Linked DNA regions of Oreochromis niloticus. The protein of the gene in region 1 purifies or fractionates together with the protein of each later gene. This does not show direct contact. Links are inferred from orthologs where the notes say so. Each region holds a gene or a part of one and is shown on either strand. Other genes may lie near its edges.

Region 1 (7,512 bases):
GGTTATAAAATTGATTTGGTTGAGGTTTCTCACAGAGCTTAAATGTTTTTTAGCCCTAACATTTTCGTTTAGCTACAGCTCTTCTGACGTTTGATGGCTGAAAAATACTGGGGGGAAAAAAAAAATGAGGCAAACAAAGATGTGCAAAATTTCTGCCCACTATTATGTGCTTTAAGTACCTGTAACTCAAAATACATTGATAGTATTTAATTACCTAAATTTTGATTTGCTTCATTAAATCGATTAAAGTAATATCCATGCATTTATTTTCTTAAGTGTTTGTCAAATTCAGGGTCACAAATGGGCTGGAGCCTAACCCAGCTATCTCAGTTTTTTTTTTACCTACAACAACAACAAAAAAACATGTGATACAGATGGGAAGTATTTTCATATTTTCTTGATTTTATATCAAATGAGCCTCTTCACATTGATGAACAACAAGAAAATACGTGAATATTTGAAGTCTGTAAAGGATTTATACCTAACAGAAAGTCAACCAAAGACTTTATTATTTGCTATAGTTTTCAGTGTAAACATTTTGGTTGCTACACTTGCGCTCTTTTTCTGTTAAAGACTTGTGCTCTAAACCATGTAGCTTTTCAAACGACAACACACATTCATCAACATTAAATGTAAACTTGTGTCTATACCGATCTCATGTGTCCTCTGATTGAGTGTAAGAGGGCATTTTAATACAAAACTCACATCAGTGTTGTCACAGCCGATCATCTCGCCATAGGAGACCTGATGACATAGGCAGTAGGTGGGCTCGTTGGGGTCCACTGGCATATCCAGCACATCGGATGGGTGCACGTTCCCAAAGTTGGAAGAAGGGCTGTTGAATTCTCCTCTGATGATTAAAAAATGTTGTGTGTGAGAAAAAGAAATAACAATGACGAGACCATCAAAAACTAAACAGTGCCCAACATACGGCTGAAGGAGTTTCACTTTCTTCTGTGCACTCTTAGGACTGCCGTCTTCATCTGAACTCTTCACTTTAGACCTCGTTTTAGCTGCCTTCTTCTCTTTTTGCCTGGAATCTCCTGGGATTACAAAAGCATGCAAGACATACATTATAATGAGTATGGATTTACTTAACTGAGCACGTAACTAATTCAACAAAATAAAAAACTGGGGGCAAATACAGTGTTAACCCACCTTTCTTCCCCTTACTAGAGGTGGAATCATAGTCTGTGCTCTCGATTTGCTTTTCCTTCAGGTCAGCCTCAAACCGAGCCAGATCCGTGTCCAGACGTCTGATGTGTTTATCCACCTGCACAAAATTCAGGCCATGCTTACTCAAATACAGGGCAGTGTATTTATAAAGTTATTTCTTCTAATAAACATGTCTAAAATATGTTTATTTTCTAAGATACCAACCATTTCATAGGTCTGCATGGCCAGCTGCACCTTATCATCTCCAAACTCCTTGCATTTACTGTATGACTGCTGGATCTGCCTCAGTATGGACAGCTTTTGCTCAGAGGAGAGAGTCCGGGCGTTGGCAGTGTATTCTTTAGCCAGAGAGTCTATCTGGCCTTTAAGATCTAAAAAAATAATAATAATCATAATTTTTTTTTAAAAAAGATGAGAAGAACTTCTAAACAATGCTGTCTGTGATTACGAATATAATTTTAATACCTCACACAAATAAGTCAAAATGTTTTTTAAAATAACACAATTGGATATTCAGTTTTCTTATTTAACTGGCATAAAACCAGCAACCTAAAACAGTGAATTATGATCTTAAGGCTTCAAAAATGTTCATCAACTTTTGGGTTCTATCCATTCATCTTCTTCTCCTTATCCGTTTCTGGTTGCTGGGGTGGCTGGAGCCTATCCCAGCTGCCATAAGCAGGATACACCCTGCACAGCTTGCCCTTCTATTTGCACAGCTAACACTGACAGACAGACAACAAATTTAGAATCACCAATTAATCTAATTCCATGCATGTCTTTGAACTGTGGGAAGATGCCAAAGCACCCGGAGAGAACCCATACAAGTACCGGGAGAACATGTAAACTTCAGGCAGAAGGACTTCAACTGGATTTAAACCCAGGACCTACTTGCTGTAAGTAGACAGCACTAACCACCACACCAAACCTTTAAAAATGTTTTTGCTTAGGACATATAAATACATAATAACACACCTAACTGTTTTTACTCTGTACTACTACTATTATCATTATTATTATTATTATTATTATCATTTGTATTTATTTAATTTCCTTATTCTTGTTTTAATGTTGTTGATCATTTATTTGTTTTGGGGTTTAAAAAGTAATATATAAATCAAGATGACTTAAAAATGTTATTATGCGACTCCTCATTACACATTGAGATAGGGTGCGAGCTGGGTCAATTTAAGAGCACTAAATAAAAGTACATACAGGTGATAATAAGAAGAAAACAATAATAACAATAATTAGGGTTGTTTTTTTTAGAACAAGGCTTTTTTTGGTTAGTAATCTAATGATTCCTCGGACTTTCGTTGGGGTCCCTGTGTGGGGGTAACCCATTTACCTCCATTATAAAGTACCGTGTTTTGTGGGTTAATGAAGATCCGTGTTCACTGAGCTTACCCTCTGTGCGTTGATCTAGATCCCTCATCAAATTAAAGTTCCTCTGCAACTCGAATGGCAGGTTTTCTATGCCTGGTGTGGCAGGAAGGCAGGAGAACAAAGATTTTTAAGACATCAACACGAAACAATGAAATAACAACACTGGCTAGCTCAATCTAATGTCTGAAGTGATGCTTTTTCGGTTAAGCTTTAAAATTCTCAAGCACCCCATTAAACAACAAGTGGCACAAATACAGCTGACTATGAATGCTAACTGCATTTAACTTGTGCCAGTAGTGGCAATACAGAATGCTTACGAGCCTTTCTTTGCTCCCGTGCGACGCGCTGTTCCAGCAAATAGACTGAGCCTAAACCCCTGACCATTAGGAAACCGTTAGAACACTCCCTTCCGCACTGAAGCTGATCAGGAGATACACTACACAAAGAAATTAAACTATAAAACGACTAAGGATGTTTTTCAATGCATCAGAAGCACGTACAAATTCACTTACTGTCCAAATAATGCTCCAAATACATTCCCGCCGCCATCTTGGAAAATGTAAACAACACAGCTTCCGGACCGAGATAGAGCTGATCTGATTGGTTATTTCCAGAGCGCACACAACACCGAAGGAAGAATCAACAGCCACCAAAGTACTGCCAATTACAGGTGTAATATTCAAATTATCATATGGGTAATAAACACTAACAGGTATGCAAGAGCGTCCGAGATCATTTAAAATGATAGGATAACTTCACTCCTTTTAGAAATCGTCAGAATCCCCATTTTAAATGTATTTTTAGCAAGGTTATTATAGTTAATCTCAACTAAAGAATAAAACTATAAACGTTTTTAGGTAACTGAATGACAATAAATAAATGAAACGACCTTGTGAATTACAAAACATATACAAGAAATTTCTTTATATTTTCTGAAAATGTGAAATAGGTGCAGCAATTTATTGGAACACATGTAAACATCAGTGGTGATGATTTGGATTTGTAAGTCTAAAAGACCCGTTTCCACTGATTTTCACTCCAGTTCTTGTCTAACCTGCCATACCTCGATTTAGACAACAGAACGGTGACTGTCAAGAACTGCTGAGATTTCTGATGACCCTTCAAGAAACATTAGATGAATTCAGAAGGACCTCTCAGGTCCTGTGTCAAGTCTTTGCTGGATTTGTTAGTTCTTTAAGAAAATTACTTTTAAACACTGTTCATCTGCTGTAGATTGTCTTTTTTATACCCACCACTCCTCCATTTCTCCAATTTCCTCAAATTCTTTTTAAGGACACACTGCACATTGCGCTGAAATAAACAAGTTTTCAGCTAAAAGCTCTTTGGGAATAATTTGACATGTTTGGACACAACACTGGTTCATCCTTTGAGTTACGTGCCTTTTTTGTGTGTGAATGATTCATAGGTCAGTAGTAAGTGTTCTTAAAAGATTTATTTCTCACAGAATTATGGAAAGCATTGAATCTGTATACAGAAATAAAAAAGAAAGCTCCAGCTTTAGTAGGAGCATTGTTTGTGAGTCCAATCATCAGCACGCAGCCATGTTACAATCACGTTTGACACATACTGGCTGCACAAACAGAACAGCTTCATCAGACAGAGGTGGATCCACGTGTGTAACAAAGCTTTAAAAAAATCCAAACATGCATTTAACACACTGTCACTCTGCGTTTTGTTTTTGCAACATGTGCTTCAACTTGTTGAATTTATTCTTTCCCATTCTGTTCTTGGCCTTCATGGGTGTTTTCCTCTTTTTGGCCTGCTTTTTCTCAAACCTGGTTCCTTCCTTTGTGTCAGCTTTTGATGCTTTACCATCATCTGTTGTCTTCCTGGCTTCTGTGCCCTTCACAGTTTCTCCATCCATCTTGGCGACTTTTGCCTTTTTTGATCCAGTATGCAACTCCTTTTTGCCTTGTGAGTTGATGTTTGCCTTTTTTGTGACTACAGTTCCATTGGCTTTGTTTTCTTGCTTCAGGCTGCCTGCCTTGTTGAGGACAGTCTTCTTTGTCTTGTCGCTCTTGGACCTTTTCTCTTCAGGAGCTTCTGTGGCCGCTGTCGTCTCAGGAGCCTCTGCCTTCTCATCTTCTACAACAGCAACAGAGACAGATGTTTAGTTAGTGATAAACAGGGAAAATATCATAATCAACGTGGGCATGAAGCTATGACAAAAGCTCTTACCATTCCCTGGTGGTGCAGTTGGAATTATGTTGGAGAACTTCTTCAGCTTGGCCACAAAGAATCCGTCCATGTTGTGGGAGTGAGGGTAAAATCGTCGCGTGAGTCGCAGAGTCGGATGAAATCTGAACTTTTTGAAACTAAAAGAAGGAAAATATTCATGTTTTATTCAGTTTCTTACTTGCTCCTAAAATACTTTCACTGGTTATCCAACTTACTTGGTAAAGCCTTCCTTGCCAAAGTCGAGTCCTGTGGGAACTAATTTGACGTTTCTTTTCTTTAAAGCGTAGTCCACCACCCATTCATTCTCTTCCACCTAGTTGAAAATAATACAATCACTTACCAAGCTCATCTGATATTTACTATGTTTGTACATAAATGTGGTAGAAATTCAGAGTTTCCACATACAGTTATTGAGCACGTGCAGTAGACCAGATATCCTCCCGATGGGGAATCCGCATTGACCGAGTCGATGGCAGACAGAATCAATTCTTTCTGCAAGTGAGCACAGCGATTGATATCCACCTCATCCTGTCAGTGAACAGAAGGGCAAAAAGAAACAAGTATTAGCACACTACTTAAAGCAAACAGACATGTGTATAAAGACAGAAAAAGTTTCTTTTTTGGTTTTACCTTGCTTGTCTTCACAGCTGGATCTTTAGCAATGACTCCTGTGCCTGAGCAAGGTGCATCAAGCAGCACCCTATCAAACCCACCCATTACCTTAAAGCAGAATTTCAACAGGTCAGAACATTAAAACTCTAATAAGGCTTAATCCCACAGATATTGCTTATCTACACATTTAGACAGGATACCTTCGGGAACTCTCTGCCGTCGTAGTTGCAGACCACAGTGTTGGTGACCCCCAGACGGTGGATGTTTCCCACCACACTCTTCAGTCTTTCAGCATTGGCATCATTAGCCACTATTACCCCTGTGTTTCTCATCAGCTGAGCTAAGGGTGAGAACAACTGCATAAGGACTCCACGATTTTTAAGGGTGAAATAACAACATAATTTGCAATAAAGGCAACACATCTTACCAATATAGGTAGTCTTTCCTCCTGGAGCTGAGCTCATGTCCAACACCAACTCTCCCTCCTGTGGAGACAGCGCCATGACTGGCAGAAAGCTGGAGGCTCCTTGGAGCATATAATGACCGGCCAGATACTCCGGAGTTGCACCTAGTTAACATGTAAAGAATCGGAGTTAGAGCTGTAGTCATACTCAGATATTCCCCAGTGAGCATCCTTATTTGCTTAAGTTGGTCACTGACATGACTGTATTGAAACCTACCTACAGGTACTGAGGAGTCATAGATAACCAAACCCACTTTAGACCATTTCCCCAGTGGATCAAGGTTCACTCCTCTGTTGATTAAAGCCTAAACAAGGAAAAGCACAAACCAGTGAATTCAATATGTAAAGACTTGAGTTTCCTCCTGACATGCAAGTAGTTTTTCCTGTTAGCTCCCAGTTATGTGTCTAGAGACCAGTCAGATTGGTTGGCGAGTGGTTGCTGGCAGTTGCTGCGTGAAATCGGCTGCAAAGTTGAATAAGCTGTGGCACCAAAAAAAAAAAAAAATCTTGTGTTTACTTTGCTCACTAGCAGATTGCCCATAATTTGTATGGAACGTGCTGACTTGCCAAGCGCTAGTGAATGTATGAAAAGTGCAACGCAAACCAGGAACAGGGAGCGTTTGCCCTCAAAGAGAAAAGCTGCACATTTTAAAATGGGCTAGATGGAGCTGTAAGGCACAGCTTTTAATCTGAGGGTGAATGTCTCCAGTTTGCGTCACACTTTTTCCAAGTTTTATAACCACTTGGCAAGTGTTTGAGAAGTTGGCCCCTCCCACAATAAGGGTGACCACAGCCCTCAATAGGAGGCTTATGACGCCGCGCCCTCTGTGCAAAAGATTTTAGCAACCAACATCCAGCAAGTATCAGCCAGGCAGGGGATGCACATTTCTCCCTGATCACATTGGCAGATGTCACTGACTGCTTTTTAGGCTTGTGAGACTTTGCATCTTAACTCCATAATCAACAGTAAATCCATTAATACATATAATATACATGTAATATTCTATAGATTTTACTTTTATTCCCATCCAAATATACTGCACCTTTCTTCTGAAAATGCTAACCTAAGTACAGAATTCTTCGGCCTGGTTGCCAAGTTTTTGTTCAACAAAAACAATTCTATATCACAACAGATACACTCTTTAAAGCAATAAACTACAAAATAGCTAACAGGCATGACATACATTATGCATTTTAACTTGTTAAAATACTCTAATGCAAATTTAGTCCATGTCTCTTAAGATCAGGCACCTACCTGTGCAAGGTCCCGCCTCCTTGTTTTCAGTGTATTGGTTCGAATAGTGACAGGTCTATGAATTTCATTGGCCTCGAGGAAATCAACCAGCTGTAAGGCAGAATGAAAATATAATGTTTGAAGTCAAAAAGATATTCTCAGCTAGACCTTGCATGTTTAAATCAATGCATCTGTGAATTCTTTTAAATCAAATGACAAAACAAACAAACAAACAAACACACGGGGAAAAAAAATGCACGGAAGAAAACACACCTCTGAAAGAGGGAATAGGTCCATAAATTTTTCAATGAGGAACTCGTTGTAGCTGTAATAGGTGCAGAGATCTTTTTTCAGAAGTGAGATGTAGTCTGCTCGGTCTTTCCCCTCTTCTCTTTTTGTTGAGAAATTGCACAGGAGGTCAATGTTGTCCTTTATCCGCTGA
Region 2 (6,992 bases), on another chromosome or scaffold:
ATCTGAACCACAAAGCTGCTGTTCCTGCTCAGGACCTGCTCCATGATTAATGTGGACAAAATGGTTTATAGTGGCACATTTATCACAATAACCACAGAAAACATTTAAAAGATGGCGTGTGTAACTTTATGTTGTGTTTTCTGACTTGGAAAATTTAAAAAAAATGAAGTAAAAAGAGAATCTGGGTCCACAGCTGCACAAGGCCTTACAAAAAGAACATTTACAATCATATGTGCATTAATAACATAATAATAATATTTGATTTTTTTAAAACATTGTGAAAGACTCAGCTCCAATGCAACATGTGATACAGGGACTGAGTGATGCGTCCATTTGTCTTTTGGGTTAAACACCACCCTGCCTCATGCCCAGTCAGTCACATTGCTCACATACACAGTCACTCCACCCCTCCGCCTGCCCTCTGGCAGTTGGCAGAGTGGTGTCATCTCGAGCTCTCAGCTGTTACTGTGGCGTACCATTGGCTGGACCGGCAGCTGCTGGGGACTGTGCCAACACTTTCTTCTATATCACTTTAGAGCATCAAATCCACAAGGACAAAACATATGGCTTTTCAAGAATTCTGGCATTTGACCACCACCACCACCACAGTGGATAAATACTAATTATGATTCATTTCCGAAAACATCCAAACATTCCAAGGTCTGATTGGCCAACATAAACACGGAACTAGAGACTAAATTGGTGCAAACATTTAATTTTCATCTTATTCACTCTAAAAGTGCCGATCAAAGAATAGCAACAATCACAGTTCATCTGAGTGAAGATGTACGTATCTACAGTGCAGTCTGAGCTGGAAGCTTCACACAGGAACCCAGACTCTGGAGTCGTTGTAAAAGAAGGACTGCTTTGACAAGGGCTGTGGATTATATAAACCTGGAAGGAGAGAGAAAGTTTTACTTAATGCTTTCATGAATGCAATAACAACTACTTTGGCTGCTCCTTTATTCATAAGGGATTGCTCCACATGTTTGGTTTGGCAGATCTTTTTTTGTATCTCCTCCTGGGATCAAAGCTAGTTAGGCAAATGTGTAAACCACCAGTTTATTAAAGACGCCTTGTTTCAAACAGATTCAGTCAATTCCATTTTAATTATGTAACACCAAATCACAACAGTGGACACAAGATTCCTACAGTATTAGAAAGAAAGACCAAAAATCACACAAGCCCCCTATGAGGAAGCATTTGGTGACAGTGGAGAGGAAAAGCTTCCTTTTAACAGGAAGAAACCTCTGGTAGATCCCGGTTCAGGAAGGGGGAACCATCTGCCAAAACCATCTGTGAGTGAGGGGAAAGAGAAGAGAGCAAGTGAGGCAAACTATAGGCAAATTAATTCTCACCAGACTTTCGCATTTTTAAGAACCAAGCATCAAAAAGTAGAATGTAACCTAAACAAATGAAAAAGAAAGTTCTCATTCAAGCTTCTTTCCTGTCTGTACAGAAATATGTTTTTAATAGATGCAATAATACATGAAGACTACAGCAATGTTCTGAGCTAAGCAATGAGGTTAAAGACAAAAACTGAACCCGGGACAGATGCTGTATCCATGCATAATGAAAATATTGACTGAAATGTTGCAACAAAAAAATAAAAAAGCTTTTTAATATAAAATTAGACTATCCGAATGATCACTATTGTTAGGAAATGGTTGGCCACACAACAGCCACTCCGTGTACACAGAAAAGTTTCAATGGGCACCCGTTTTGCTGGATTAAAAAAAAAAATGCATGTGGTCTAGGAAAGATAGCTAACGTGTTAAATACAGCAGATTCAATCCAATATCACAATAACTGTACCGAGGAGCTTTCAGACTACAGAACGGCCAATGCCTGATCTGACTGTGCTGGATATCTATATTGCCATGTGCACCAGTGTTATTTAAGGCCCAGTAAATCAGAGATCAAATGCATGTGAGAAAACTGCCTCATTTATCTTATTACCTGGTCCTGGGATCTTATCAGCCATCGGTTTTTGGGGTATTCTTTGAGTTCTGGATGCAAAAGCAGCAGTGGGTATGGACTGCTTTGATGGCCGGTCATACTGCCCTATGTCATAGTGCCCAGGGCCCGGCAAAGGAGGATCCTTAGGTACAGTCTGAGGAGGTGCTGCTATTGCCAAAAAATATCTTCTCCTTCAAACACACATAAAACGATATAAACTTTAGATAATAAAAAAAAAAAGTAGCAAAACCTAAACATTGTATGGTTACTTACGGAAGGATGGTCTTCTTCACTGGGGTGGGTGCCTGATGGGGGTTGTAGGCCCCCGGGCCCGGCACACGGTGGTCGGCCGGAGGAAGGATTCTGTGAGTTTTTGATCTGAAGGGTGACGAGACCGCCTTTGAACCATGCTGGATTAAGCTGCTGTTCACCTCGTAGTGGCCTTTTAGAAGTTTTTTTTTAATTAAAAATTTAAGTGCAAATTTAATAAGAGGCTAAAAGAGACAAAACTTCAAAGCAGACCTGGTGATGGCACATTTTTGTTTGGGCAAAATGAATCCCGTGTTGTTCTTGAGAGGAAAGGCGCTGTACCAACCACTGAGGAGATGCTTACTCTCCTCACACAACTGACCTGTACAGAAAGAAAAAATGACACAAAATACACAACAGGATCTCAGAGATTACACCCTGAATCAGCTTTTATAATCAGCACACATACATCATACTGATTTGGAGCTGGAGTTATATGTTTGGGACCATCCATCTGCACAGCTATGGGCAGCCTGAAGACCCTGGAGGCTCCAGTGTTGAAGTCATATTTATTTATGAAGGAACTCTGTAGGTTGTATGCATTTGGGCCTGGAGTGGGTCTCTGTGGCCTTCTGTCAACCTGGAAGAGAGGATGAAGTGATGAAGACATTTAAAAGCAGCAGGGGATTAAAATTTATTAGACTAAAAGTAATCAGGTAAACTGAGTACTGGAGCCATAACTAACACTGACTTTAAGTTCTGTGTCATCTTCATTATAAGGCTCAAGGATGTTTTGTGGCTCCATACTTTTTTTTTGGTCACAAATTGCTCAGAAAAGGATACTTTGACATTAAAGGTTGCCATCTCCTGCCAGATTATTCAAATTAGGGTTGTAGTGAAGCTGAAGTCTGTTAACATAGGATGAATGGCAGGGTGTGTACACCAATCTAACAATGATAAGATAACTTTATTGTCTCCCATAGGAGAAAATCATCCTGGATCAGGCAATACATAAAAAGGCACACAGACAAAATCCACTAGCAATGATGCTGGGGGGAAAATAACTTACAGGGTAAGTAAGGATTTTTTTAAAGCCCTATTGGGGCAAAAAGTATGATTTAACAAAACAAAACTGATTTGACTCGTACAAATAATCAACAAGAATAAATGCCCAAAGGCGTTTCAAGATGATACATAGTGGACCTCCTGACCTTGGATGGGAAAAAGCCGGTGGTGCCTCTCTTTGAGAAGGAAGGACTGTTGACTTCAGTGCTGGTAAAGCAGTCGTAGGTTCCCGGTCCTGGACTTTCACTCTGACACACAAAGACCACACACGTTATTTATGCGGCACTGTTATTATTATTCTTTTAAAATGCTTTGAATTTTGATGGAGTTAAACTTCCTACCAGACTAATTTGAGAAGCAAACCTATTAGCCTGGGTGGAAAAGCCCTTCTTTTCCTGATGTGTTGTCATCGCTATTTGGTACTTAGCTTGTATTGAACATCTTTTACTAGCTACAAGATAAAAGAAACCATTATGTCACGTTTTCAGCTTAAGAATTTATAACTATTTCCACTTTGGACTCAGTCGAAGCCATCTGACGCTATTCGAGGTCCTTGGAATTTTAAAGCAGTTGCTATGGTGATGTGAAAACAGATCTATCGCGAGACTCCAGCGCCACCTGTCGGTGAAATGGAGGCGGGCTTCTTTATTGTACCTAGTCTCCCCTGTTTAGTGTCCACTTTAAGCGGCTATCCGTCATGGCGATGCATGCGAAGGCGACTCCGCCGCAGATCCCGGACACTCGCCGGGAGCTCGCTGAGCTCGTAAAGAGGAAACAAGAACTCGCCGTAAGTAGACGTTAAGGTGGTTTCGTTATAAAATAAACGTCGCATTTAGTATTTTACCGCGTGAAATTTTCTCGTGCGCGCTGCTAGCCGAGGCCCCGCTACATGCTAAACTAATGTTAGCCGGAGCTAGCGGTAGCGGCTCACTTAGTTAGCGGGTCGACAGCGTTGTTTGGCTGATAACGTTTGATTAAGAGTAGTGTTAGTAGTAACAAGACTCCATGCAGCTCTCTTAATATTTCTTTTAAGTGTTTTTACGTATACCGACTTTACAGCAGCGCTTTTGACAAAATATTCTAACAGCTTAGCGTAGCCAAATTTTAGCAGCCGCCCTGCTTGGCCAAGTTCTCGCGATAAGTTGGTGTCACATGTGTATTGTGTACATCCAGCCAGATACCTGTGATATTGTTGCCTCTCTGGCATGAGGAATAAATCAGCATTGCGACAGACATCGCTATCTTCACTTTTGCGCGCTCACTGAATTCTTCCTGCAAATGCAAGTGAATAATTAACACTTCAAAAGGGACATATTTTATTATCCTAATTTGTGTGTCTATAAATAAATGTCTGTTAAAAGTTTACCAGCCAGGTTGATTAATACAATGACTAAAACTCAGATATCTAACATTTATTCTTTTCCTTCACGTTCTTCACTGTCACAGGAGACATTGGTGAACTTGGAAAGACAAATATATGCATTTGAAGGCAGCTACCTAGAAGACACCCAGATGTATGGCAACATCATCAGAGGATGGGACAGATACCTCACCAACCAAAAGTAAGCAGCTTGGTGGAAATGCATTTACACTAAATGAAAAGTCAGCCATTGACTTGTATTAGTTACGTACAAGCCAGCAGGAGGAAGAAGAGTACAGCCGATGGCTGAAATCAAGTTCCAGTAAAATTATTAAGAAAAAAAAAAACTACATCTAGTTGATGTTGAAGCAGGACGTCCAACTTTTTTTTAAGTTAAAGTTGGGTGGGGGGGGGTCTGAAGAACTTTCTTTTCTTTTCATAAGGAAAAACTTAAAATAATTTAAAATACGCAATTTTTTCTTATTCCCAGTGTGGGCGTTTGGAACCACTTTTGGACCAAACCATTGTTTAATTTTTTTTTACATTTTTGTTTGCTTGTTTTAATTTAACAGGAACTCCAATAGTAAGACTGATAGACGGAATAGGAAATTCAAAGAAGCTGAGCGTTTATTCAGCAAGTCATCTGTTACATCAGTTGCAGTAAGTCTTTTGCTTATTATTTTAAACAGATATGCTGCATAATAACAAAAAGCACTTACTAAACTGTTCAATCTGTGACATTTTTACAGGCCGTTTGTGCACTCGGTGGTATACCAGATCACATGAATGAAAAGCGTGAGTTTTGCTTTTGAGCTAAGCAGCATTAAAAGTTTGTATTTTGTGGACTGGTGGTAATTTGTGTCATTTATGCTGTTGTTTTGATTTCTTCAGGTGAGGCAGGCAGCGGCACAGAAAGCGATGCCTCTCCAGATCTCCAGAACCAAGAAAACGAGCCCAGCCAGGAAGACACGGAGGATGTGGACTCGACGCTGCAGGACCTGAAGCCTCAGAAGGCTGCTTCCTCCTCCTCCTCAGGCAGCCACCACGGGAGCCACAAGAAGAGGAAGAACAAAAACAGACACAGGTATTAAATAAAGGAATGACGGTGGGGTCAGCATGCTGTTAAAATCTCCTTCCATTTTTTGATTGTCCATAGCCGTTCATGTAGACTGCTCTTGGCAAGCCACGTTACAGAACATGTTTGCACAAAATTTCTGTATACATCAAAGTTCCTACTAGTGACTAAACCCCCGTGGCTTCAATCAGAGACACCAGGGAGTCTATTTCTTATTTTACTGCCTGTACCTGCGAGAGCTCATTGAATTGCGTTGTTCACAGAGAGATCACAAAAAGTGATCTAGTATGGCTAGAATAAGTTTGCAACTTGGATTCCAGTAGCTCTTGTCTTGTTTTTTTGCTCCCTTTGTGTGTGAGTGTGTACACAGTGGGGGTTATTTAAAGGTATTTTGGGGGCAGGCCAGTATAAAAGGAGTATTTTCTCTTCCAGTAGACTATTAAATTTTCTCATGGTTGAATGAAGGAGCATTCTTCTGGACAGAAGAAGTATTCACACTTTGCGATCCTCAGCACTCACTGTAGTCTTTTCCTCGATGACAGATGTCACAGTTCAGGGAAAAACAAAAAATCAAAAAGGGGAAAAAGTAATAGCAGGGAAATGAATGCGATTGTTTTTTTTGTGTGTCTTTTGTTTTGTTTTTTACTGAACGTATCACTTTTTCCTCCTGTTTCAGCATCTCCCTCTGTTATCTGACACTTGCAGATCTGCTTGTACACTTGCATATCCAGCCCGAGTACACGCAAGCTGTGCTGGAGACACGAGAGTTGGTCGTAATTAGTGCACAACAAGCCAAAAAAAGATATTTTGGGTGTGCTGGTGTTCCCATGCATGACAAAAGCAATCATAAAGCAAAGAAAAAACCAAAGTCACGATATAGCACAGACTAACCAGTTGAGGCAGCAGTAGATGAATAACATGTTTTCCGAGATAAAATTGCTCCCTTTTTTGTTTTTGTTTTTTGTGACAACTTAACAGATGTCTTACAGCAGGTTAATTGAAGTGTTTGTGACATTTGAGCTTCTGCTTTCAGAGAGAATGGAGGGTATTGTTTTGGTATTCAGCCTAAAATATGTTGAGAGATTTCTGGTCCACATCACCAAGCTTTACAATCTCAGAATAACCTGGTTATTCTGAGATTATCGGAGGGTCAATAAATGACAAGTTTGTTAAGACAAATTAGGTTTAACGTGTCATGTCGACATGTTTTTTGTTGACTCGGGCCTCACTGTTTATGCCTACATATTAACACAGCAGGTTCTCCTCCTAACACGGCGTGATGGG

The links. Proteins that work in one complex are often made in the same cells at the same time.
Region 2: the proteins of ing4 (region 1) and meaf6 purify together in Homo sapiens (affinity purification with mass spectrometry; 5 studies listed by BioGRID and IntAct, counting the BioPlex papers as one, with this or other methods). This does not show direct contact. The link is inferred for Oreochromis niloticus from reciprocal best matches to the Homo sapiens genes ING4 and MEAF6.

The regions. Positions count from the first base shown.
Region 1 is NC_031976.2:23,063,537-23,071,048, reverse strand, and holds the start of ing4 (inhibitor of growth protein 4), read right to left. Parts: upstream 3,033-7,512; 5' UTR 2,947-3,032; coding exon 2,880-2,946; intron 2,656-2,879; coding exon 2,584-2,655; intron 1,548-2,583; coding exon 1,381-1,547; intron 1,274-1,380; coding exon 1,159-1,273; intron 1,044-1,158; coding exon 932-1,043; intron 851-931; coding exon 706-850; intron 1-705. Other genes in the region: nop2 (28S rRNA (cytosine(4447)-C(5))-methyltransferase), read right to left, coding at 4,244-4,668, 4,762-4,898, 4,977-5,074, 5,167-5,289, 5,392-5,481, 5,574-5,713, 5,801-5,941, 6,054-6,141 and 2 more.
Region 2 is NC_031985.2:13,858,680-13,865,671, forward strand, and holds the start of meaf6 (chromatin modification-related protein MEAF6), read left to right. Parts: upstream 1-3,920; 5' UTR 3,921-3,970; coding exon 3,971-4,060; exon of another isoform or gene 4,061-4,061; intron 4,062-4,719; coding exon 4,720-4,835; intron 4,836-5,205; coding exon 5,206-5,293; intron 5,294-5,382; coding exon 5,383-5,428; intron 5,429-5,524; coding exon 5,525-5,717; intron 5,718-6,992. Other genes in the region: stpg1 (O(6)-methylguanine-induced apoptosis 2), read right to left, coding at 1,190-1,296, 1,960-2,150, 2,233-2,401, 2,482-2,590, 2,678-2,848, 3,420-3,521, 3,615-3,683.